Linked DNA regions of Rattus norvegicus. The protein of the gene in region 7 interacts with the protein of the main gene of each other region in a pairwise test. Links are inferred from orthologs where the notes say so. Each region holds a gene or a part of one and is shown on either strand. Other genes may lie near its edges.

Region 1 (2,242 bases), on a different chromosome or scaffold from region 7:
GACTCCGAACTCTGCTTTAGGAACCGTTTTGTAGACAATCTTCAGTGTCATTCTGGCAGTGTCTCTCCATCCCCCTGGCTAAGCACACCTGACTTGTGACTAGCGCCTCTGCCCCTTGGCCATGGTCATTCCGTTTCTGCATCTTTATCTGAAGACTGGTTCCCACTTTTTCAGACAGGGAACCGGCAGGGGTGGAGAGCTGCAGTTCCAGTCTCTGCCACCAGGTGGCAGAGCGGCTCTTCACAGCCAATACTCTTTCCATGAGAGAGGAGGGAAAAGGAAGGGGTGCTAGACTAGGGATAGAATTTATTCAGAAGTGCCTGGAAAGCATCTACTAAAGCTAGAGTTAGAGGTCAGAATGGCTCCCATCGCAGAAAATGTGTCCTACTTTCGAGCTGGGCCACTCTTGTTGGTTGGTTTTGTTTACAGGTTGCACAAAAGCATAGAATCATTATAGAAATACTAGAATTTTCCAGTAAGAAGGGGTGTGGAAGAGAGCAGCAGGTAAAGGTAAGCCTGACAGCCTGAGTTCAAACTCCGGTGTCCACATGGTAGAAGGAGAGAACCTAGTCCTGAAGGGTGCCCTCTGACCTCCACAGTCTACGCACAAGCACACATCCCACGGAGAACAAGCAAAGCCAAAGAAGGTTACAGCGTGGTGGGTGTCTCTTCATGAAGGCTTGGCTGGCCTGGAACTCCCTCTGTAGACCAGGCTGACCTTGAACTCACAGAGATCCACCTGGGGGCGGGAAGGGATTAAAGGCATGCACTACCACACTTGGCTTTACTCTTTTTTCTTTTTTTTTTCTTTCTTTTTTTTTTTTTTTCTTTTTCTTTTTTTCGGAGCTGGGGACCGAACCCAGGGCCTTGCGCTTCCTAGGCAAGCGCTCTACCACTGAGCTAAATCCCCAACCCCTGGCTTTACTCTTTAAAAATTTATTATGTTATGTGTATGAGTGTTTTGCCTGCATGTCTGTCTTGCACCACGTGTGTGCCTGGAACCTGTTGGAGGCCAGGAGAGGGCGTTGGATCCCAGGAACTGGAGTTGTATGGTTTTAAGCCTCTCCTTCTGTGGGTAGTGGACTGGAACCCAGATCTGGGAGAGTAGCCAGGGTCTCTGAGCACGTCTCCAGCCCACCTTGTCTCTTGAGGCAGGCTCTTCCACTGAGAAGGGGTTCACCATATCGGTGAGGCTGGTTGGCCAGCAAGGCCCAGGAATTATCCTGTCTCCAACTCCTGCAGTCCTGGGACTCCTGCTCCTCACCGGAGCACTTTACCAGCTGAGCTCTCCCGCTAGCCCCAGGACAGATCTTTTTGTGAATGTGAGTCCACTGTAGCTGTCTTCAGACACACGAGAAGAGGGCATCAGATCCCATTACAGATGGTTGTGAGCCACCATGTGGTTGCTGGGATTTGAACTCAGGACCTCTGGAAGAGCAGTCAGTGCCCCTAACCCCTGAGTCATCTCTCCAGCCCCCAGGATGAATCTTTTTACAATTAAAAAGATAAGAACAAATATCCCAACTCTGAAAAAGCAAAATGAATGAATGAATGAATGAATGAATGAAAGAAAGAAATATAAGGAAACAAAACAACAAAGTACAGCTGAGAAGCAGACATAGGGACAGAATGACAGTGCTGCAAGAGCGGGCCTGGGCGGCCGGAAGCAGGTGGTGACTTCCTCTCTGTACCGTCTTCATCCTCGGCTCCCAGCATGTGAAGAGGCCGAGTTAGTGTCTCAGAGATCTCTCTGTGAGGGTTTCAGACTTCCTGAACTAAACAAGGGGCCCAGGGCTACATGATTCTTAGGAGGCCGAAGGCTGGACTTCGGGGCTTGCATGGTCCTGGAGGAGGTACCTCCCCAGCCACAGACTGCAGGGATGAAAGGCCTTCCTTGCCTTGCAGGGCCTCCTCATGCTGCTGCAGAACCTGCCTACGATCCACTGGGGCAACGAGGAGATCGGGCTGCTGCTGGCTGAGGCCTACAGACTCAAGTACATGTTTGCGGACGCCCCCAACCACTACCGCCGATAGGTGCTGTCTCTCCTGGGGACCCAGACTGCCCCCATCTCTGATGGCAATTTCATCACTGTGGCCACCGTGCAAGCCGTGGACCCCGGCCAGGAACCACTCCTGCTGTACAAAGCTCGCCCCCCCACCGCAGCCACCACCACCACCACCACCCAGGTCTTAACTTCCCAGCATCCGTCACTTTGTCTCGGGATGTCTATCTGGGACCACT
Region 2 (4,000 bases), on a different chromosome or scaffold from region 7:
TGAAGGGGCCTTATCTGGCATCAATAGGAGCCTGTGAAGGCTCAATGCCCCAGTGTAGAGGAATGCTAGGGTGGTGAGGCTGGAGTGGGTAGGTGGGTAGGTGGGTAGGGGAACACCTTCATAGAAGCAGGGTAAGGGGGCATGCAATAGGGGATTTGCAGAGGGGAAACCAGGAAGGAAGATAGTATTTTAAATGTAAATAAATAAAATGTCTAATTTTAAAAAGTTTTCTGTGGTTGCGAAAGCCTACGGTAAACAACGTTTGGGTTCAGCACGTCAGGCTCCTAAATCGATTGGATAGGGTGTATAAAGTCACACCATGTTTCTTGTTTATAACAGTGCTCTCCAATCTCCCCAGTCTGAACTCCTGTGTCATCCCTCCCCACCCCCACTCATACACACCCCCAGCCCTGTTTTCTTCCACACATGCCCAAGGTTCCTCGCCTGTGGAAAAGGCTGTTCCACTTTTCCACTCTGTTCAGCTTTCTCCCCTCCCAGATAAGCTTAGGCTTCAGCAGTGCCCTGTGCCACCCTGGTCCTGATCACAGGGAACTTCTACCTTTTTTCCCCTCAGGTTTCTCTCCCTGGCTGCCCCTTTCCCTAGAGCCTGCAACATTCCAGTCTTTCTCTTCCTTGAACATGCCTTAAGCCACACCTGGAGTAACAAATGCTTCAGAGTTTGATAATTTACTTAATGTCAACAAAAGAGAAGGAAAAAGTAAGCTGTAGAAACGCAGTCACAGAACTGCAGCCAACTTGGCTGCAGGACCCAGGTTCCCAGATGGACCCTGCCTGCCTGCCATTGCAGGCTCCACCTAACAAGTCAAGTGTGGACAATTGTAATTAGTAAGTCCCACAGACCCCCCCTGAGGTGTCAGGGCAAACTACCCCAGACTGTAGACAGCACTCTAGATTAGCCAAGGACTAGTGGCCTTGCTGTCACTGGACCAAGGCAGCCAAGCCTTGCCTACTGGCCCTGGAGCGCCTCCAGCACCCGGGAGGGGCCTTGAGGGAGCGCCCAGTCAGTCACCCCAGCATGTGGGCGCGGCGGGGCGGGCCAGGGCTGTGATCTGGACGCCGAGTGTCCTTCTGGGCCCGAGTGTTTGTCCAGACAGCCCGCGCGGCTGGGTCTCTGCGCGGCTGGGTCTCTCTGCTTGTCCTCCCTTCTCTTCCTGGAGTTGCTGTAGGCAATCTGGAGGTGGCGGCGGGTGCTTGGACCACCTTGCCCCGGGTCCTGAGCAGGTAGGTGACCGGGTCGGGTAAAACGCTGGAGCATAGAGCCAGGCAGAAGGGTGAGCGAGGAGTGGGAACCAGGAGATGCGTCTCTAGAGCGAAGGGTGAAGCACAGAGGACAGGGAGAGGAAGAGACCCTGGTTCCCGCGGCCAGGCTGCTCACCTGTCCCTCCGGTCCCTCCTCCACGGCGCTCAGGGCGAGCTCAGGTGCCCAGAGGAACAGACCACAACGGCTGCGGGTGTCCGATGTCTCGTGTAGGGTGTCCAGTGTCTGCAGCCGGGTCCAGGTGAGTGGCGGCCCCAAGAACAGAGGGCTTGTGATCATTATACTAAGAGTCTCCAGAGGGAGGAGAATCGGAGGCGACTTGGAGTCTTTCAGGAAAGTTGTCCCGTCCGGGCTGTGCATGCACACGCGGCGAGTGCTAACTGGCCTGGGGCAGGTGCACAGCGGGGGCCACCTGCGAGGGTCTGAGCCACGAAGAGGGTGCTGGGTGTCGGCTACAGTACCCACAAATCAGCGGAGGTCCAATCACTGGGCAGTGCCATGTGGTCTCCTGGCCCGGAGACCTTCCAGACAAGAGTCCTGAAACCGGTTTCAGCACAAGCAGAACTCCATTAGTAAGTTCCCCGCGCTCCCGCGGGCGCCCTCACGTGGTACAGAGAGCAGCGGGCTCGTCGTCTCTCTGTGGTTCTGGGTCAAGGCTCAATCTAGAATCAGCCTAGCCAGAATTTTCCTCAACAAAAGTGAGCCATTACCAACCGTTCCTGCCTTAAGGGGTTCATGGGCCCTAGGTGGAGGCACTCAGTGTTTATAGGTTTTCTCAATGTCTCTCTTTGCTATGGTCCCAGAGAAGCAGGGATGACAGCCTCTTGCTTGTGTAAAGAAACAATGTATTTATAATTTTTCTTATTTAATAATAAGTGGAAGAAATACTTAGGCGAAGATTTAGCACAAATAGGCTTTTCTAGGAATATCTATCTATGAAATACTTCAATCTTGAGAGTATTTACAAAACTTCCAGCTCCTCTCACCACTTGCAATTCATTTTGTTTCCAAAATCATCATGTAAATTAATAAGAAAAATATTGAGCAATTCAAAGCCTGACAACAGAGAACGCAAACTAAGTTCTTACCTTTAGGGATATATGTACTGTAAATACAGAAATATTTTAATGAAGGTAGTTGTACCCAGAGTTTAATTATTATCATTATTGTTATTATTTATTAGGCTCTGTATTAATTAAAAACAATTGTGAGGAAAAGTGGAAAGTGTGAAAGTCAGACAAGATCTACAGGTATCCTGAGAACTTAACTAAATTTTGGACTCTTCAGAAATTTTTAGAGTGAGTGACAGGTATGGGCTTGTTCCCTGCTAGTTGTCTTTTTCAAGAAAAATGCCACAGGAGAGGAAAAACAAGTTAACTGGGCTGTACTCTGTGTTGGACCACGAGTGACTGCACTCAGTATGAGACCCACACATCACCAAACAGTGATTGTCCGGTAACGTGAAAGTAGGAAAACCCCTGGCAGGTTCACTTCCTCCTTTTCATTTCCTGTACTTGTCTCAATAGCTTCAAGGCAGATTTTATCTCAGGATCCAAGAGCTACAATGATCCTCAGGTTAGTTTTATGGATTAAGAAACAGGGTCTAAAGATGTGAAGTGACCTTCCAAAGTCATGGGTCACTGGAGGCAGAACCGGGAATCTAAGCTGGTGAACCTGTCTGTAGCTGTGCTGTGGTCTGCTCTAGGAAAGCCTTGGAGAGCTGGTTAACTGACATCACTCAGAGCCAATCAGCAGTCCAGTTCGGTGCCCATAGTCAACAGCCACAGGCACTTGTTAGCTGGGTTTCTTTTGTATTCCCTGAGGCCACCAGGAACCACGGTATTTTCTTCAAAAGGGATTAAACTGGCCCTGGTGGTTAGGGTCTATATAATCCCAATTATTTGAGAAATAAAGACAGCCAGTGTGGAAAGTCAAAAGCCTGTTTAGGCTAGGTTATATTAAAAACTGGCCTGGACAATTTAGACTCCATCTCAAAACATAAAGTAAAGGGGGCTGGGGGTGCAGCTCAGCAGCGGAGAATTTGCTTGGCATGTGCAAGGGTCAGGTTTAATCCTCAGACCACAAAACAAAACATGCCAACCAACCTTGATGCTTGAAGTCTATGTTACACAAGCTACCCGAAGCAAAGCAGAACAAAGAAGAGAGTTGCGCACCTCTTTACTGGAGTACCAGGGAAGGGAATGTTGGTGGAACAAGGCAAGTGGAGAGTAAGAGGAAGACAAAGTCACCACTGGACCAATGCGGGTAGCAACTCTGTGCTCCTTCCTGGATGGTGTATTTTCTTCTGTGGCCTCTCTAAGCTTATCTACACTTGATTACCGTAGGCTTCCGCACTAGCTGAGGTATCTCCAGTTTTAAAGTTCTCTTCCCAAGGACATTTTCTGATCTTTGTCCGGAAAATTTCAAAGTGGCACCAATCACTTCCTGATTCTGGACTCAGGAGTAAACTTGTAGCAGCCAGTCTGTGCAGTGGATACAGTAACTGCTGTGCTTCCCCCTCACTGTCTTCCTCAGTTCCTCTTGGCACTACAGTGGAAGGAGTGAGGGACTTAACTCTTGCTGAGTGCTTATGGTAGTGCAGGAAACAGTTAAGTGTCCGTTCTGTTATCAGAGAGCGCCTGGAGCCAAATCATTCCTGGAGGAATGTGCCCTTGGCTCTTTGAGGGAGTTAATTTTCAGTTCTCTCTGATCCTTCAAGAA
Region 3 (3,500 bases), on a different chromosome or scaffold from region 7:
GTGTGGGCTTTAAGACCCTCATTGTAGCTGCTTGGAAGTCAGTGTGTTCCGCTAGCAGTCCTCAGATGAAGACATAGAACTCTCAGCTCCCCCTGCTCCATACCTGTCTGGACACTGCCATGTTCCCACCTTGATGATAATGGACTGAACCTCTGAACCTGTAAGCCAGCCCCAATTAAATGTTGTCCTTATAAGAGCTGCATTGGTCATGGTGTCTGTTCACAGCAGTAAAACCATGACTAAGACACAGAGAAATGAACTTTTAGGGATAGGATGATGGCTCAGTTGGCAAAATGCTTATCTTGCAAGTATGAAAAGATCTGAATTCAGATCTTTCCTTAAAACTCATAAAAAGCCAAATGCTGGGGCTGGGGATTTAGCTCAGTGGTAGAGCGCTTACCTAGGAAGCGCAAGGCCCTGGGTTCGGTCCCCAGCTCCGAAAAAAAGAACCAAAAAAAAAAAAAAAAAAAAAAAAGCCAAATGCTGTTGCGTGATTCCACGCTCCCAACCTATTTGGTAGCATTTTAGGCCAGTAGAAGATCCTATCTCAAACAAAATTTGGAAGGTACTGGAGGACCACACTAGAGCCTGTCAGTTGACCACATAGTCCTTTTAAAAAAACCTAGACTTTTTGCCAGACATGGTGGCATACACTTTTAATCCCAGCATTTGAGGTAGGTTGATCTCTGAATTTGAGGCCAGCATGGTCTACAGAGTAAGTGAATCCTAGGACGGCTGAGGTTACACAGAGAAACCCTGTCTCAAAAAACAGAATAAAACCACTGTACATTTTAATCCCAATACTAAGGCAACTGTGGGCAACTAAGGCAACTGGAATTTAAAATATTTTGAGTTCCAGGCCAGGCTGGGCTATATAGTTAAAACTCTGTGTCAAAAATAAGTGAGTAGGGCTGTAGAGGGCTCAGGTTCGGAGCACTGGCTGTTCTTGCAGGAGACCTGGTTCAGCTCCCAGCACCCACACAGCAGCTCAGAGCCTTCCGTAACACGACTGCCTGGGTGTTGTCGTTGGCCTGTGAAATGTTTTTCATTAGAGCATTAAACCGTAACTGATTTGTGGATTTCTTTTGGTTAGGGCATGCCAGAGCAGTGGGCACGGCTGTTGCAGACCTCCAACATTACCAAACTGGAGCAGAAGAAGAACCCGCAGGCTGTGCTGGATGTCTTGAAGTTCTACGACTCCAACACTGTGAAGCAGAAGTACCTGAGCTTCACTCCTCCTGGTAAGACCCAGACCGTGGTAAGAGGCTGGACCAGGTGGGAGAGCCGAAGCCCTCCCGGGTGAAAGATGGAGTACAGCCGCTGTCGCTCCCTCTCTCCCGCACAAATCTCCCTTTTCGAGGGTGATGAGGTAGGCCCAGAGCATGTCTGCAGATCAGTTAACCTCATCGTTTTGCCAGAAATAGAGTTGGGGATGTTTGGGCTCTTTGCTTATTTAATCTTTTTCTCTTTGATGCTCTTTTTTTTTTTTTTTTAAATTATTTATTATATATAAGTATCCTGTCTTCAGACACACCAGAAGAGGGCATCGGATCCCATTACAGATGGTTGTGAGCCACCATGTGGGTGCTGGGAATTGAACTCAGGACCTCTGGAAGAGCAGTCAGTGCTCTTAGCCGCTGAGCCGTCTCTCAGCCCCGTTTGATGCTTTTAGATGACTGCCAGCAACGGAGGGCGGAGGCAAAGCTTCTCAATACACAGACAGGTTCATGCCGGAGGTGGTGCTGTGAGTGCGGTAGAGTGGAAGTGACTACTGTGCATAAATGGCAGCTTTGATGTGAAAATGCCTTTCTGTTCATCTGGTGTTTTGTAAAACACCCTCAGTCCCATCACTTAGGAGGCTGAGCTAGGCAGATTTCTGAGTTCAAAACCATGCTGGTCTACATTTCGAGCTCCACACCAGCCAAGGATACGCTTAACCCTATACATGCAATAAATAAAATCTAAAATAGAGATGGGGTGGGGAGGAGAAACAACTATCAGAGACTGTACAGCAAATACCAGGCCAGCCACGACTGCATAGCAAAGCCCTGTCTGCTTGCTTTTTTTTTTTTTTTTTTTTTTTTTGTCATTTCCCAGTTCTCTTTCTCAAATTGTTAATATCTTTTCTGTTTCACATTCAGAGAAAGATGGCTTTCCTTCTGGAACACCAGCAGTAAGTTAATAATTTATTATAGTTTCTAATTTGGGTTGCCTAGAACAAGTCTATTTTTACTTTGCTTGGTAAATATATAAGGACAGGGGACTGAAAAGAATATGAATAAATGTAAACAGTTAGATGTGGTAGGCATGTCTCCAACCCCAGCTCTCAAGAGGCCACAGTCTTGAAATCACTGTGAATTTGCACGACTGAGTGACTAGCAAAACTGTATCTCCAAAAAAAAAAAAACAAACCAAGAGTAAAATAAAATTAACTATCAGATAAATACCTTTTTAGTTACTTTTTCTTTCTTTTTTTTTTCTTTTTTAAAGTTAGCCATTTGATTAATTGAAGAAACTATATTAAGTAAATAGGATTTTCCTGTCGGACAGTTTAAAGCAACTAATCTTCATAATGGCTTACAGAGCAAATTAACTACTTTTCCATTGTTGCCATTTTGAACCTGAATATGGTGAACTAGATGGCATAGTCTCTCCTCCCCAGACCTCCTACCAGTACCATTCTGGGTGTGGTAAACTGTGTCGCATTCTAAATAGGTAAAAACCTTTGTCAGCTCCCTTTCTTGCTTTGTTAACTGGTGAATCTGGATCTTTTAAAGCACTCAAATGTCTACAGATCCAGAGAGCCTTCAGTTTGGTCCTCAGAAGAGGAGTGCTTATTAACAGAGCACCACGTGTGCTTATGTGAAGGGCAGGAATAGTGCCTGCCGCACTTGGGAGCTCTGAAGGTAGCTCAGAAGGTGAGCAGTCACACCATACACAAGCCTCAGGACCAGTCCTTAGCTGAGTCCCCTCCCCACTAAAGTGATACTCAACCGTATATGTTTATTTCCTTTTTAACTGGTTATATTGGAACCAGTGAAGTTCTGTAGTTTTTATATACTAGCTATTGAAGAAATAAGCTTGTAAGACTTTTTATAGGGGAGTCGCATTTTAACCTTTGATGTTATTGGTTTATCCTCCGTTTGCTGCTATGGTGAACGCAGCTGAACACCAAGGGGTCAGAGACATCAGCTGTGGTGACAGAGGAAGACGATGACGATGAAGATGCTGCTCCTCCCGTCATTGCCCCTCGGCCAGATCATACAAAATCAGTGAGTGACAGACTGATGATCTGTAACTGTTTGACTTTTGAACACATTGATCTATGTTTGACCTGCAGTCAAAACATTAGAAAGGCTTCAAGCTTAAAATACTGTACTGTGAGAGACCGAGTTGTCTTTCAGAACCTGTGTTTTGGAGCTGATGAAACGACCCAGCAGGTAAAGGTGCTCGCCACCAAGCTGACTGCTCGAATCCAATTCCTGGGACCCATATGGTGC
Region 4 (3,500 bases), on a different chromosome or scaffold from region 7:
TCCAACCCATAGACAGACTTCCCTTCCCCAAAAAAGATGCTAACTGAGGAGGGGCAAGGCATTAGAAGCTGAGCTGAGAGGGTGGGAGCCAAAGCAGTGGAAGGGAGCTGGATGGGCTGGAACAAAAGGCTGTGCGAGCTGTGTGAGCTGTGAAGGATGGGGGGGCATTCAACCCCAGGAAAGCAGTAGAGGAGCTGCTCACTAACCTGACTAAGGTGACTACTTCAGGGGCTTCACCGGCCTAGAGCGATCCCAACTTCTCCCACCTCGAAGTGAAGTGAAGTGCCGGGAAAGCGGCCTTGGAAATAGTGACTTGCTTACTTGCCCCTCCAGGGAGAGTAATGATTTGCCAGGCAAGTAGAAAACAATGCTGATTTCATTCACTATATTCCCTGGATACTAGAGGCTGGCAAAGCAGGTGTGAGCTACTAAATGCTTGGTACTTATTTACAAGGCTGCAGTAAATACCAAAAGCTTAGGAAAAAACTACACAACTTTGATAACCAGCAACAGAGTAAACCTCTTCGCTGAACTGACATCACAGCAATTTCTTAAGTGGTATTTCCTCAGGGAACTGCAAAGCAGCCCCAGAAGCAGGAACCAGAAATCCCAGGTTTTCACTTCTAAGAAAAGTAAGATTTACTTCCAAAAGGAAACAGGTTAGGAAAAAAAAGTTCTCAGACTCATTTTCAAGTTCTAATCCAACCAAGGGGATAGATTGAGGCTTTCTCCTAAGTTGTAATTTCCATAAGTAGCCTTCTCCCGTCCTTCCACTCTTACAAATCTTGGCTCTAAGCTAAGCTAACCTGGGGCGTGGGGTGGAGGAGGCGGAGGTAGGGGGAAAGACTGCAAGGAAGACCCCATCGGAGCCACAAGGACAGATGTAGGCAGCGTCCCACTGATATCATCTACAAGAGAGAACAAAAGCAAGAGGTTCAGCAAAATAAGCACATAACAGTGGGGAGAAGGCGGAGGAGGAGAGGACTTCAGGCTGCCCTCTGGGGCAAGGTAGCCTGGACGTCATGCTATCTCTAAGTACGGGCAAGGCATCCTCATCAGCCTTGCTTTGCCTAGAAAGCAGGAGAGTGAGGGTACTCCTAAAGCAGCTCAGGAGCAAGACTGAGGGCTCGGTGCATGTGAAGCCACTCAGCACATGGACAGTCAATATTGCTTCATGCAAATAAAGATGCCCGCCCATCTAAGTCCCTACAGAAACGACAGAGGTTTGGAGAGAGGAATGGGAACTAATTGGGTCATCAATAGAAACCCATAACCTTATCTGGCCCCTGACCAAAGAGCAAGTCCCTAGAGCTCACCCTCCCTACAGGGCAAGATGGCAAAAGGGTGGGTTAGAGACTATACCTAGGAGGCTGAGGCTTCTTCTTGGAGGAGGAGGGGGAGTTGGAGGGTGTGGAGAGGTCAGGCCCCGCTGAGATATGTCCACGTCCACAAGCGACACTGTCTCACCTGAGGGATTCACACAGCAAGCATGTTACAGAAGCATAGTGTCCAAAGCTGAGGCCAAAAGGAAGGGGAACAAAAGCAAGCAGGGAGGCAGAGGGCAGAGAGTCCTAAGCAAGGGAGGCCAGAGCAGAGGGCCCTAAGCTCTCCAGGCTGGAGTCACCTGGACACCAAGTGTCTTAGAATCTGGTTGTTGCTGGGTTACGGTGCACACACCTTCAATCCCAGTACTCGGGAGGCAGAGACAGGCGGATCTCTGTGAGTTCAAAACAGCCAGCTTGGTCTATGGGTAGAGTTCCAGGACAGCCAGGGCAACAAAAAGACAGGATTTGTCTCAAAACAAACAAAGAACAAACTGTTCGGCTGTTCCGGGTTAGTGAGGGACTCAGAGGTCAGGAGCCTTGCTACTACTGGAGCAGACCCACATCTGTTTGCCCACAGCCACAGAGGCTCATAACCACTCTGAACTCCAGTTCTAGGGCATTCAGCGCTCTCTTCCAGCCTCTGCAGGCACCAGGCACGCACACAGTATATACATGTAGGCAAAACAACTCATCTACATAAAGAAAAATAGGGATGGTAGGATGGCTCAGTAGAAAAAGGAACATTTTTAACAAACCTGATAATCTAAATTCTAGTCCTGTTTGGTGGAAAAAAGAACTGACTCTTTTTTTTTTTTTGTTTGTTTTTTTGGTTCTTTTTTTTCGGAGCTGGGGACCGAACCCAGGGCCTTGCGCTTCCTAGGCAAGCGCTCTACCACTGAGCTAAATCCCCAGCCCCAAGAACTGACTCTTGATAAATGTCCTCTGATCTCCAAATGCATGATGTGACACACATTCAATAAACAAAATGTAAATAAAGAGGCACAAAATAATAATTTAAAAATTTTAATCGTTTTATTGCAGGGTTGGAGAGCTAGCTCAGGGGTTAAAATCACTGCGACCGCTCTTCCAGAGAACCCAGATTTGGTTCTCAGCACTCACACAACAGCTCACACCCACCCACAATTCCAATTCCTGGGTGTCTGATGGCCTCTTGTAACCTCCACAGACACCAGGCTATACATAAAACGGTACACAGATAAACATGTAGACAAAGTACCATACACAAAAAGTTTTTAAAAATAAAAGTCCTGGGGTTGGGGATTTAGCTCAGTGGTAGAGCGCTTGCCTAGGAAGCGCAAGGCCCTGGGTTCGGTCCCCAGCTCCGAAAAAAAAAAAAAAAAAAAAAAGAAAAATAAAAGTCCTATCTTTTCTTTACCATATTAAGGGTTGAGTTTTCCTTAGGAGAAAAGCATTAGTTAGCTTGTCAGAGAGAAAGCTATTCATTGCTCTCTCTGCTGCTGACTTATCTTGATTAGGGTCTCTAACTCTGAAAAGGAATTTGTTTTTAATCAAATAAAACCATACTTGAGGTTGGGGATTTAGCTCAGTGGTAGAGCGCTTGCCTAGCAAGTGAAAGGCCCTGGGTTCGGTCCTCGGCTCTGGGGAAAAAAAACAAAAAAACAAAAACAAAAACAAAACAAAAACGAAAAAACAAAACAAAACAAAAAACAAACCCATACTTTGCAGACTTTCATGTCAGTGTGGAGCAAGGCAAGTGGTTCTCGTTCTGCCACATGGACAGGACAAATGCAAGGCCAGATCATGTTAACAGTTGGGGGAGGGGCAGGGAAGTGGCTCGTCATACAAAGTGCTTGCCTCCAAACCAGAAGACCCAAGTTCAACTCCTACAACTGTCTTCTGGCTTCCTCACATGTGTGCTGTGAAATTCACATACACATGCGCATGCATTAAATGTTAAAAAGAAAGAACTGCTGGGTAGCATGTTAGTATATTCCTTTAAACCCAACAATCAGGGGCTAGAGACGGGAGGGGTTCAAGGCCAGCCTCTGCTACACATATTGAAGCCTGCTTGAACCTTAAACAAAACTCAAATCACCTGCAGAAGTTCTAGGACGCACGCCAGGGACTGCTGTCAGCCTCACTGCCTTATGGTGAGTCTGTTAGAAAAGTCTAGGATATCACTTACAGATGCTA
Region 5 (4,194 bases), on a different chromosome or scaffold from region 7:
GCACGAATATACGTCTTCATTTCTCTTGGGTAGGTACCAGGAATGGAATTGCTGTGACACCTGATCTTAGTACTCCGCCCTCCCCATCAGGACCTAGCAACATCTTTCCCTGGACCCTCTAAACGCTTTAATTCTGGGTTCTTAGAAGAGTGCTGGTCAGGTCCCATGGCTGAGTTGGGTCTCTATGCTAATTGCCTTTCATCCTGAACTTATTCATCTACTTGTCTACCTGGCATTGCTCCCCAGTCTGGAAAAGACTATGCGGTCCCCATTTTCTACCTCCGCTCTAAGAGGAGCCACAGGTTGCTTTGTCCCAGAGCTGAGCAGAGGGCATGGAGGACTTTCTGTGCAAGAAGACCGAGGAGAATCTAGAGAAAGGCAGAAAGCTCCGGGGACAGGCAGGCAGAGAGAACAAAGCTCTGTGCCCTGGGGCTGCTTAGTGGGGGCCCTTCTAAGGCTGCAAAGTGCCAGTGACTCAGACGTGGGGGGGAGCGCGTAGCTACTGCAAGAGTCTCACGCATTAACCCTTATCTGTCTGGAATAGAAAACCTACAACCCAAGCGCAAGGCTTTACTGCTCAGTCCCACAATTCCCCCAGTCCGTGCACACCAGGGCCCAGGGCTTTAACTATGCTTATAAGATCTCTGGACAGCCAACCTCCAACCCACTCCCAACAGTATCTCGTTAAAAGAGCTTCGGCCCTGATGTCCAGTGGTTAACTCGATCGGAGGGTACAAAATACCACTGAGTGACCACCAGCTGCCCAGCGACAAAATAAGCCCTTAAGAACTGGTGCCTCTTCTGGGTCAAAAACGGGATGCACAGAGTGGGAGGCCTCAGCTCCGCAGAACTGCTCTCCCGTTGATCCCAAACCCCACTCTGAACGGCTTTAGCTCATCGTCTTTGTCACGGGAATATGTGTCATCTTCCCTGTCTCAGGCGACAAGAAAACGCTATTGAAAGAAATAAAAAATATATTTTTAATAGTACAATAAGAGGAAGAAAACACTGCGGTTCTTGTGCCGCTCCAACAGCCGGAAGCAAGTACTGGGCGTCTCCCCGAGGGCTCAGTGCCCAGCCCTGCCCGCTTTGGGGCGAAAGCCACGGGCGGCGCCTCGGGGTCTAGCGGGCCAGGAGATCGCACCCCTGGGTCCTCGCGTCTACAGCCGGAGCACAACGCACAGAGCTCGGCGGTGCCTGACGCCCAGAGCGGCGGGCCAGGTGCTGGGTGCGAATCCACGGCGTCGCACAGAGTGGCAGCCTGCTGTGTCCAGGTCCTCGCGGGCCACCAGCCGGGAGTCGGACAGGCTCCCGCGCAGCCCGGAGAGCCGCCCCTCCAGGAAGCGCCCGCCTCGCTCCCGCTTCCCGCCCACATCCTCCCTCGACTGGAGGGAGGAGCCGGTGCTGCAGCCGCGGCCCGAGGAGGGCCAGCCCCAGCCCGGGCGAGCGCAGGAGTGGGTACGGCCGCGCGGGTAGCGCCCTGTCCCTGTCCCGCGTCGCCGCCCGACCGACAGCACAGCGCGCGGGGATGCCCCGGCGACCCGGAGCACGCTGAGGCTTGGGGAAGCGCGGTGAGTGGGGTCCGCGGCGACGGTGGGCCGGGCACTGAGCGCGCCCAAGTTCGGCCTGGGGCTTCGAGGGGAGCGGGTTCTGAGGGAGGGACTCCAACGTCCCTGGCCACCGCCCCCCGCAGCACGCCCCGGAGGACTCAGCTCCTACCCGGCCACGCGGGGGCGCCCGTCTGCGGGGGGCTGCTGGATGGGCAGCTTCGGGGACACCGGCTAGCTATTTGGGAGACCCTCTTCCACCGTTAGGTGTCTGGAGGGCCACCGAGAGCTGGCGACCGCAGCCGTCAGCACAATTGCTTGGAGGAGAGTGCGCCCTTTGACCCCACCCTGACCCGGACCTGGCCCTGCTTGGTATCAGCCCTAGGGTCGACTCCCTGCTCCAATGTGGGAGAAGAGATGGGGAAGAGTGCTGAGCGGCTTTCCAGAAGTCGGAGTGTGTTTGCAAACTAGTTTTTGCGCAAAAGCTGTCTGGCACCTGTGTGTTTCAAGGGGTGGAGGAGGAAGTGAGAAGCCCTTTTTTCCCATCCCTGTAAGCGATGCTCCTGGGAAAAATAAAGGAGACTAATGCTCCTCTTTCCTTCTCTTCCCCTCTCCTCCCGAATCCTGTCTTTGGTACAGATGGCTAGTCTTTGGATAAGAGGCTACCTCAAAAGGAGGCTGAGAGTGCCCAAGGTCACAGGTGCAATAGCAACCGGGAGCTCGGGAGCTCGGTGGCCATTCAAAGGGTCTGCCTTGTACTCTGATTCTTCCTGCCCTATAAGTATTCTGGGGGAAGGGGAAAGGGAAAGGCCTTTGAGGATTAGCCCAGATGCCCTTTGCTTTGTCTGACCATAGACCTCCATCATGTAGGGGTGTGGAGCTGTCACTCCGAGATGGGAAGGGGTATTATACTGCCCCTCTCAGAGACGGGAGAGAGTATTAATATTGTCCCTGGAGGCATCTACAGCTTCTGTGGTTGGAGGCCTTGTTACCAGGCAGACTTTCTGCTGAGAAGTTCCTACTCCAGGGTTAGAGTCCTGCCTTCCTACCTGTGGACAGTCCCTCCTTCTGCCTTTTAAACAGCCAAAGTCTTCCAGAATATAGCTCCCTCACCACGGGCTTAGAAGGGACTTGGTGTGTCGAAGTGGGAGGAGCTGGTCATCCAGCCATCTTGGTAGGGAAGCTGCTGTCCAGGAGAGACAATATAAGGTCCCTAATGGATGCTCGAGGATTGAGTCAGGGTCAGAGGTGCCACCTAGCTCCTAGTCCTATGTTCTTTGGCCTCTGGTCCCCTGGCTGCAACTTCTCTTTTGAGGTCAAAAACACTGCTTTTTGAATTGGATGAGAGCCCTTCTCCCGCAGGAAGGGAGGCATTTTGGTTGGGTTGTCATTTCTAATGGCCTATGGACAGCTCCAAGATGGGAGTCATGAGAGACCTGGCCTTGAACACCTTTCTGTGACCAGAAGTAGTATGGTGGCCTCAACTTTGCATTTCCGGTTTCTATAAAGTGGGATGGTCTCCAGGGCCTCCTGGAAACTGACCAGACACAAACACTAAAGCACGAGTTTATTGCACCCTGGCAGGGGGCCCAGTGAACTCCTGGGCTGTCCTTAGGTGGTGATGAGCCCTTGGAGTGGGAGAGTTCATCAGATGCATTTCTACACATGCACACACATGCGCGCGCACACACACACACACACACACACACACACACACACACACACACACACACCCTTTGGCTCTGGGTGTTTTTCCATTTGTGAAATGAAGGCAGACTGCGATGGCAGCCCATTTGCAGAGCCGTGGGGAGGCCAGGACACAGGACAGGTATTCTTACAAGTGGGGAACTCTTCATGAGGGTCTGTGATTGCCTTTCAAGCCCTCCCCCAATGCTGTGAGCATTAAAAATCCGAGGGGACCACGTGAAGAAGAGGACCAAAATGGAGCCTCGGTTTATCTGTATCATAGTGAGGTGTGCACTCTCTGTCCCCTTCTCGTTCTAGGTAATTGTGTGTTTCCTTAAAGGTAGTTGTGAGGATCCGTTTAGATGACAAAGGGCTTGTGTGTCAGCACTGTGACTGGTGCGGGCGGCATTTGGGAACAGCTGTCATCCCATTGTTCCTGGGAATATTAGTACACTTGATTCGCATGACTGCATTCAACATTCCTTCTGGGATATTTTTCTTTTTTCCTCTTCTTCTTCTTTTTTTTTTTTTTTTTTTTTTGGCCCTTGAGAGATGAGTCCTGGAATCTGGATATTGGTACTTCTGAGCTGTTCTAGGGCCAGAGGGGCCTGGGTAGGAAGGTTTGTTCTACGGTGCATCCTGTGTAGGTGACCATCGCCCCGACCTGGAGCTGACTTCACTGGGCTCTGAGGCTTGCATAGAAGACAAAAAGCACTCTCTAGTAATTGTGTTCCTGTCAGGGGGCAGGGTTTCTTTACCTGCTGGGACTTCCTAAATGTTCCTTCCATCCCGTCTTCTGCCCTTGCCGAGACCTGCCAGACAGGCCGGGGCTGCAGAAGTGGGTGCAGAACACCTCTAGAAGCACTGGGCTTCAGAGAGGTCCGTGTGGTCTCTGTAAAAGCATGAGGTACCATCTAGGTAGGGCAAGCTGGTGATGGTGACCATCCAATCATGGTCCACC
Region 6 (4,300 bases), on a different chromosome or scaffold from region 7:
GGAAGAAACAGAGGCACAGGCTCACACAGTTAAACGAGGGCAGAAGAATGGAACCCTAGGTCCCTGTGACAAAATTCCAGGATCCCCAAGCTGATTTTTACTCCCCCTGTCAGAGACCTTTCTGTGGGCGTTGCCCAGGGTGCTTTAGCTGTCTGAGCCATGGACATAAGTAAGATCAGGGTAATAGACACTGCAGCGACAGTTGCTAAGGGAGTGACTAACAGAAAGCTCCACTTGATGTCCGACCTCAGCACGGAGCTTTGCTTCAAGCCGCTTGCAGTGAACAACTAGTGTTGCTGCTGTCACTGTGATGGTTGTTGCTGCTGCTGTTGGAATTTTGAAGCCTGGCTCTCTAAACACAGAGAAGCATTTCTTTCAGTTATTCTGCATGTATAACGTCCTTCTGTGGAAGTAAAGAGGCTGAACTTGGTGGCTCACAATCACAATTCCAGGGCTAGGAAGGCTGAAGCAGGATTATACTAAGTCGAGACCAGTCTGGGATGCAATAGTGAGTTTCAGGCAAGCCTGTTCTGCAAAGTAAAACTTTATATGTTAATTAATTAATCAGTTCTTAAATAAATAAATAAATATACTTCTACCATGACCAGTTTACCATTATTAAGCAATTTAGCTACTTATGAGATGGTGCCTGGAGGTAGGCAAAAACAAACAAACAAACAAACAAACAAACAAAAAAAAACCAACCAAACCAAAAAAAAAAAAAAACAAAAAACCCCATCAAATTATGGCATGCATAAATAACATATTATATATAATACTGTACAGGTGGAAAAGCTCAACTTGAAGATAAGAGCTTATTACTTAAAACCCAGTGTAGCTTATTTGCTATATTAGCCCCAGAGACTTTATTGACTAAAGTAAACTATCAGATGCCTGATATGTGCTTCCCCCCAACACCCACACTCAACACACACAGACACACTCATACACACACTCACATACACACTCTCACACGCACACTCACACACATGCACTCACAAGCACGTGCTCTTTATATATGTCCCATTTCTAGTCTATATAAAGGCAGACATTCAATATGTTCCAACACACTTTTGGACTTATGCTTGCTGGTGTGTGTGTGTGTGTATTTCATATTTTTTCTCATTCTACATGATAGATAGACATTTCTATTTCATCCCTGGCAAGACTTAAAAAGGCACTGAAACTGCATCTCACTGAAGGGAAAGAGGGAAGGAGAGGGGATGGGGGAAGAGGATAGTTCTTGCTCCTAAAAGTGAGTCTACTTTCCAAATAAGAGAAACTTAAATATGGCCATTATCATCATGTGCAGCTAATAAGCAGCTCTCTCTTGGCAAGTTTGAAAATGCTGGGCTCCATTATAAAAGTTAAAAATGTCCTGGACCTGGAGTTGTTTACCCAGAGGGAGAACTGCTCTAAAGTTACAGAGCTCTGGTTGGAAGCAGCGGCTTTAAGGCCGCCTCCAAGTCCCTGACGTCACAGTAGCCCAGCTGCTGTTGTGACACTGAGCTCAGAAGTCCTCTGAGGGTGCAGTTTGCAAAGGGGTTTGTCAGGACTGCTGTGGGAAATGGATGGACTTTGTTTTGTAAAAGAATCACTGCTCTTTAAGACAACTAGCTCTCTGCCCCGCCTCTTCCATTGCTAGACTGGTCACGCAGAGCCTGACTTGCTGCAGGACGACCCCCAAGTGCGAGGAGGTATGTTTCTTCCTGGTAAACTTGCGCCTTAGATTAAGGATGCAGAAGTAAGTGTGGTTTCGGCATCTCCTGTGCTGACTATGCTTGTGTCTCGGTCTCAGAACAGTGGGCAAGGTATGTAACGGGTTCCTGACTTGGAGAAGAGGCTGTTCAGCTGCTGAGGGTGGATTTCTAAAGCCTGGACAACAGCAGCATCTTCTCTTTGAGACTGTTCTTGCTCATTCTCAGTAGTTCAGAAAAACTTTGCTCACTGTAAGTTTCTATTAGAATGCAATCTGTGGTGAATTTATTTTTAATATCTGCGATGTAAAATTTACAAGACGTAAGTTCACTGTTATTTCAAATTTGTAATTTTTAAAAAAATGTAGTTTTATTCCAGACTGCTATTCCACTCCAGGAGACGTATTTTTTTTCTCTATAATGTGAGCTCAGAAGCACTGGTGTCTTCAAGAAATCGCAGAAGCTCCTTTGCTCAAGGTTATTATTACTTTTAGATCCTTGCTTCCCCCAAGCTAAAAGATGTTTTTCATCAAAGCTTGTATCTTATCGGTTAAGGGAACTAAAACTGATGTGCCTGTAGCTTAAATTGAGACCATGAGTAAATAGTTGGAGAACCAAAAATAAAGATGGTGACCCAATGAGAAAACAAGGTTGACTTCTTCGGAGTTCTTTGTGCTGCATTTCTTTGACCTTGCCTGAAAATGAGGAGCAGGCAGAAAGAGAAGTGATTCTTTTTTAACTTTAATCTTCTAATAAAATCAAATGGGGAGTCTCTGGATAGATGCATTTGCTGACGCACAACACGGGAGACAGAGGATTCCTTAACTGCCTAAAATGGTCCCAGTGGTGGATAATAACCTGGAAAGTGAGGGAAGGAATTTTGAAGACAAGTGACACAGTATTTTTTTCAAGGCATGGGACTTCCTAATCCCACAAAATTCATTGGGAGCAACTTATCATCAGGCCAAATGATTTCTTCTAGGAATTGTGAGGTTGGCAGTATTTGCTGTTTCTGATATTCCTTCTGGAGTCTGCATCCTCAAGTGTATAAAGGACTTGGAATATTAAAAAAAAAAACACAATATGCTCAGAAAGTAATAAAAGAAAACAATGGGCACAAAACAAGTACTCCAAGCGGAATTCTCCTAAGACAGAAACAGCAGTAGGATCAGCCCTCCTGACATTCCTTAGTTGGCGTGGCTAAAATCCAGTTTCAGCAGGCAAGACGGAGTTTGAAATGATCGTAACCATGATGTAGAAAGCACTGAGCATGCCTTGGCTGACCATGGCCAGACTGGTAGGTCTAGGGGCTGAAGCTGCAGCAGTGATCCTGTGCTCAGCATTACGTTTATAGCTTTGTTTCCCCAACCCAAAAGTTGTTTAAAATCAAAGTTTGTATTTTGTCATGTATACTTCATGAGACCCGCTTTGTTGTTCTTAAATTTTGCTCCCTGGCAAAACTGACCCATCAGCTAAACCACTTGGCTTCCTATTACAGCACGTGCACAACCCACTCTCAACCCTTTACCATCCTGTTTTTTGGCTTTAGGGAGAAGTAAATTAAAGGGAACTATGGGATGCCAGCTTAGTGTTGCTAGGGGTGGGGCATTTGTGTAACAAACAAATGTGGCTACTTCTCTAAGTTTCCTCCAATAAACTTTTCTTCTGAATGAAGTTTGGGAATGCTGAAATGAAACAGCAAGGAGCTATGGGGAAGGGGATGTACAATGTAGAAATCCTTTCTTCTCTCCCACAGAGATGCCAGAATTCTGTGGGAGGGAAAGACTGACAGCTAAGAACAAGAAGAGCTTTTATACTGGCTTCAGTGGAGAGCTCTAAAACCAGGCTTTTGAATGGCTGATCCACTTGGCCTTAAAATTTCTCATCATAGAACATTCTGTCCTCACAAAATTGATCATTTAGCCTGACATCCTCAAGACCTAATTTAGAATGATAACAAAAAACAGTTTTAAATATTTACCCAGCTTTTTACTAGGGACAAATTGTTTTGCACTATACTTAACTTGGCATATGTCTTTAAGAAAACAGAAAAATACCAAGGCCAGACAAAGTCAAAGCGAATATTTAATAGTTAATCTTTGAGATTTGCTTTCAGTGAGGTAAAGTTTGAAATGATCAGTTTTACTTTAGGAAAAAAAAAGTTGTTTACACAGAGAAGAGAGAAGGAAAGAATGAAGGGAAACAGGGAAGATGAATGGCAAGGGGGAGAAATCAGAACTTAGCAAGAATTTGTGGTCCTGGAGAGATGGCTCCATGGTTAACAGCACTGGCTGCTGAGTTCAATTCCCAGCAGCCACATGGTGGCTCACAACCATCTCTAATGCGATTTGCATATAATGCCCTCTTCTGGCATGCAGGCACATATGCAGGTAGAACACTCATAAATAAAATGAACCTTAAAAAAATCCTTATGATACAGTAGCGTTTAGATTCTTGTTATGCATTCTTTCACTCGCTTCTCACTCTTCAGAATGTTTTACGCCCCCTCCCCACGTGTTTTGTTTATAGAGGGCAGTGCAACTGTGTTTGTTACTGTGGGCATTTACGTGTGTGTTGATGACAAGGCTGAGATCCTAGGAAAG
Region 7 (3,500 bases):
AGAGAGAGACGTCCCCACCATCCAGACCTCAATCTAGGATGGGAAGGAGTCCACCAAACCTATATGAACTCCATTCTTCCAGCCCTTTGGAGAGGGCTGCTTGAGTGCAGGAGCTGCTGAATTCTGGGAACTCACCAGAGGTGTCCGGACACCTTCTGTTTTATGCTAGACAGATACCTATTCCCCAGGAGGCCTCTGTCTTCCTTAGGTTCTGCCTAATGTCTCCAGGCAGCCTGCTGGGAGAAAAACCAGGACCATCACTGGGCCCTATCCTACCCTTGTGTATTCCCCTTTTCATGTCACTCAATGGGAGGGGAGCAGATTGAGGTATCCCAGGGTCAATAGCTCCTGAAACCAAGTGGGGATGGGGGATTGAATCTTTCTCCCTCTGAGAGGACACTTCTGGATTTGACAGGAGGGTGGGACACAGTCACATTAGGGAAGGAAGGCCTGTCAGCTGATGGGTACAACTGCTGATGCTGAGGGTAACTTGGCCTCAAGCCAGCAGTGGAGCAGGGAGGGGTAGCTCTAGAGCCAGTGTGCCCGGGGCTTCCTTGGTCATCAGTCTGCCCGGCCTCACTTTCCCTTGGAGGAAGTCCAAGAGTCAGGAAACTGGGGTGTGTTCACATGGTTGTTTTTTTTGGTAAGAGCTCTAATTGGATCCAGCTGGTGGGCTGCACCTCAACCTCCCCTCCCCACAAAGTCAGGGATTGGCTGGGTCCCAAATAGGCTGCTCAGATGTCAGAAGGAATCCTCACAAAAGCAGACCAAAGAGGGTGCCTGCTGCCCCTAGCCTCCTTGGATTCCTTGTCAATGCCCGAGCAGGAACTGAGCCCAGAAGACAGGTACTGCCGGCTCTGCTGTACTGTCATACACAGTACGGTCCCACAGCTCCTGGGCTGCTCATATGACTGCACGCTGCACACACCCCTGCTGACATTCTTTTCACTTTACCTCCCATGCTCCTCACATGATTCACCACACACACACACACACACACACACACACACACACACACACACACACACACACACACACAGAGGCATATTGACAGCACTGAATATATTCTACCTCTGCCACACACAGGACACCTCCTGGGGTATCTGGTGTCCTTTCTTTGAACCTCCACAAACCCCACAGACACATACAAGCCTGATTTGGCCCAGTCCAAAAGGTGGTATAAGGGATTTTTGTTTGTTTTGTTTTTGTTTTTTGAAACAAGGTTTCTGGCTATCCTGGAACTCACTTTTTTTTTTTAAAAAATTGTTTATTCGTTTATATAATGAGTACACTATTGCTATCTTCAGACACACCAGAAGAGGGCATCAGATCCCATTACAGATGGTTGCGATCCACCATGTGGTTACTGGGAATTGAACTCAGGACCTTGGGAGGAACAGTCAGTGCTCCTAACCGCTGAGCCATTTCTCCAACCCCCAAGGTGGTGAAAGTTTATTCCACTAACACCCATTCAGCCAGGAAAATGAAGAGGTGCAGATCCTATATCATAGTTCTCTAGGCACTAAGTCCCCTTTGTGCCCCCGAACCATGAACTCTCTGTCCTCTAGCACCTACCTGTGTGTGTCCCCTTTTGCTCACCCATCTCCCCAGTGCCCTGAGCTCCCTTCTGCTGACCCTTGAGTGAAGCAGAACCTACTGGCTTGTCAGGCATGATGCCCTCAGTCAGGAAGGACCCTCCTTTCAAAGCCAAGCCTGTGGATACAGGAGTGTTCATCCGTTTAGGAGAGAAACTTCCAGAACTCAGCACCACCCCCAGGGCAGAAGCAAGTCCTTTTTGTTGTCATCTGCTGCTTTGCTTTCTAACCACCCAGCACTAGCTCTGAGCGTTCTGGAGCTGTGATCTGCACAGGAGGCCAGCGAGCAGCACACATTCCCTAGATCTCAGAAGTGGCTCCCTGCCTGGCAATGCTCTCCCATGTTCTTCTTGGCCCTAGTAGGGATGAGGGCAGTGCTGGCTGCTTCCCAGTGGTCAGCAGGTTCGTGGCCTTGATGTTGACTGCCCTTGTGCCTGTGAGCATGCAGATGCTACCAAGGCATGAGCATGTCAGAAGAATGGAAACAAAGTCCTGTGCTCAGGTCCTCTCTGCTAGCTGCCCTAGTTCTCCTGTGCCTTCCTTCTAGGGGAGCTGGCTATCCTGGCACAGAGAGTCCCAGAGGGGTGGTCAGAGGGCTGCAGGCCTGCTCCTGGCCAGCTTCCCTATCTTCCTTCTTGCCTGGCTTCCCCTCCCCCACTTCCACCCAGCGCTCCTGCCCCAGGCCTAACAAGCAGTCCATTGTGCCTCTGGGAGTCGGCACTGGCAGCCTGCAGGCGGGTGCCCAGAGTTGCCTGTTTCCTGGGTCCTTGAGCTCCCACCCAGCTGGCCATAATTCCCTCCCACAACCTACCTTCCTCCCCCACCAGTGGGTTGAGTCAAGAGGTCCCAGGCAGTCCAGCCCAGCCAGGCTTTCCCTTCCTTCCTCCTTCTCTGCAGAGTACACACGAAGGAGCAGCTGGCACATCCTGTGTCCTCCAACCTTGACCCAAGCATGCAAGGCCTCCCTGCTGGGCTCAGCCTGGATGATTTCATCCCTGGCCACCTCCGGGCCCATATAGGTGCATCTTCCCGGGGGACAAGGGTGAGTGAACAGCAAGGAAAAAGGAACGCTGATGGGCCAGCAGTTGATGGGGACACTAGTGGGCCAGGTGGGGGGAGCAGTGGACCGGCAGTCTGAAGGAAGCTCCAGAGAACCTCCATGGCTTCCCCAGGAGGCCAGACTCAGGCTATGCTCAGGCTGCCATTCCTTCCCAGTGGAACTCCAGTGGAACCTCTGGGCCCTGAGCTTGCTGCTCCTGGCCCCTTCCCACAGGTGCCTGTGATCCGGAATGGTGGCTCCAACACCCTTAATTTCCAGTTTCATGACCCTGCACCCAGGACTGTGTGCAACGGCTGTCCCCCGCCCAGGAGAGATGGTTCCCAGCATCCAGGTGGGTCTGCTTGGGAAGATCTGCTCTAAGAACCTTACGCAGGGATGGGGCAAGTTTCCTGTGCCATATGGAAGGGAATGGATCTTTGAAGGCCACGAGAAGGTCCCCAGGGAACTGTGGAATCAGCTTAGGGTACTCTGTGATTATGCAAATCTTGAGAAAGGAACCTTGAAGAGAACAGGCTGACACAGCATTTCCCTCCCTCTTGACAAGGGAAGGACATAGTCTTAGGGGTCAAGGGAACTGTAACAGGGCCCGAGATTCAAGTGGGAGGGTGAGAAGTCTCAGCTTAAGAATGGACAGGGACTGCCTGCCCCCCTCTATGCCCCCTCCCCTCCACATACACACCCAGGATTATCATCCAATCCAAAAGGACAGCTTAAGAGTCTGCCGTCTGGGCCCTAAGGTCTCTGAGCTCCTGGGGACTCCTCAGTACAATCCAGTACTTTGAGAAATGGTGTCCTTTACTGAGCATTCATTCCCCTGAGTCAGACATTGTGCAGAGGACCTCAGT

The links.
Region 1: the proteins of Sorbs3 (region 7) and Tbc1d22b interact in binary tests that used the Homo sapiens proteins (3 or more experiments, as listed by UniProt). The link is inferred for Rattus norvegicus from reciprocal best matches to the Homo sapiens genes SORBS3 and TBC1D22B.
Region 2: the proteins of Sorbs3 (region 7) and Sh2d4a interact in binary tests that used the Homo sapiens proteins (3 or more experiments, as listed by UniProt). The two-hybrid records come from large-scale screens. The link is inferred for Rattus norvegicus from reciprocal best matches to the Homo sapiens genes SORBS3 and SH2D4A.
Region 3: the proteins of Sorbs3 (region 7) and Pak2 interact in binary tests that used the Homo sapiens proteins (3 or more experiments, as listed by UniProt). The two-hybrid records come from large-scale screens. The link is inferred for Rattus norvegicus from reciprocal best matches to the Homo sapiens genes SORBS3 and PAK2.
Region 4: the proteins of Sorbs3 (region 7) and Socs7 interact in binary tests that used the Homo sapiens proteins (3 or more experiments, as listed by UniProt). The link is inferred for Rattus norvegicus from reciprocal best matches to the Homo sapiens genes SORBS3 and SOCS7.
Region 5: the proteins of Sorbs3 (region 7) and Cpne2 interact in binary tests that used the Homo sapiens proteins (3 or more experiments, as listed by UniProt). The two-hybrid records come from large-scale screens. The link is inferred for Rattus norvegicus from reciprocal best matches to the Homo sapiens genes SORBS3 and CPNE2.
Region 6: the proteins of Sorbs3 (region 7) and Kiaa0408L interact in binary tests that used the Homo sapiens proteins (3 or more experiments, as listed by UniProt). The two-hybrid records come from large-scale screens. The link is inferred for Rattus norvegicus from reciprocal best matches to the Homo sapiens genes SORBS3 and KIAA0408.

What each region holds. Positions count from the first base shown.
Region 1 is NC_086038.1:7,672,826-7,675,067, forward strand, and holds part of Tbc1d22b (TBC1 domain family member 22B), read left to right. Parts: intron 1-1,905; coding exon 1,906-2,034; 3' UTR 2,035-2,242. UniProt on the Homo sapiens protein: May act as a GTPase-activating protein for Rab family protein(s).
Region 2 is NC_086034.1:26,173,175-26,177,174, reverse strand, and holds the start of Sh2d4a (SH2 domain-containing protein 4A), read left to right. Parts: upstream 1-1,200; 5' UTR 1,201-1,242; intron 1,243-1,429; exon of another isoform or gene 1,430-1,520; intron 1,521-4,000. UniProt on the Homo sapiens protein: Inhibits estrogen-induced cell proliferation by competing with PLCG for binding to ESR1, blocking the effect of estrogen on PLCG and repressing estrogen-induced proliferation. May play a role in T-cell development and function.
Region 3 is NC_086029.1:82,247,435-82,250,934, forward strand, and holds part of Pak2 (serine/threonine-protein kinase PAK 2), read left to right. Parts: intron 1-1,093; coding exon 1,094-1,241; intron 1,242-2,141; coding exon 2,142-2,173; intron 2,174-3,164; coding exon 3,165-3,272; intron 3,273-3,500. UniProt on the Homo sapiens protein: Serine/threonine protein kinase that plays a role in a variety of different signaling pathways including cytoskeleton regulation, cell motility, cell cycle progression, apoptosis or proliferation.
Region 4 is NC_086028.1:82,858,612-82,862,111, reverse strand, and holds part of Socs7 (suppressor of cytokine signaling 7), read right to left. Parts: intron 1,468-3,500; coding exon 1,363-1,467; intron 909-1,362; coding exon 807-908; intron 1-806. UniProt on the Homo sapiens protein: Substrate-recognition component of a cullin-5-RING E3 ubiquitin-protein ligase complex (ECS complex, also named CRL5 complex), which mediates the ubiquitination and subsequent proteasomal degradation of target proteins, such as DAB1 and IRS1.
Region 5 is NC_086037.1:10,474,984-10,479,177, reverse strand, and holds the start of Cpne2 (copine-2), read left to right. Parts: upstream 1-1,394; 5' UTR 1,395-1,571; intron 1,572-4,194.
Region 6 is NC_086019.1:30,456,111-30,460,410, reverse strand, and holds the start of Kiaa0408L (uncharacterized protein KIAA0408 homolog), read left to right. Parts: upstream 1-1,500; 5' UTR 1,501-1,697; intron 1,698-1,716; exon of another isoform or gene 1,717-2,174; intron 2,175-4,300.
Region 7 is NC_086033.1:51,684,473-51,687,972, reverse strand, and holds part of Sorbs3 (vinexin), read left to right. Parts: intron 1-2,492; coding exon 2,493-2,637; intron 2,638-2,868; coding exon 2,869-2,986; intron 2,987-3,500. UniProt on the Homo sapiens protein: Vinexin alpha isoform promotes up-regulation of actin stress fiber formation. Vinexin beta isoform plays a role in cell spreading and enhances the activation of JNK/SAPK in response to EGF stimulation by using its third SH3 domain.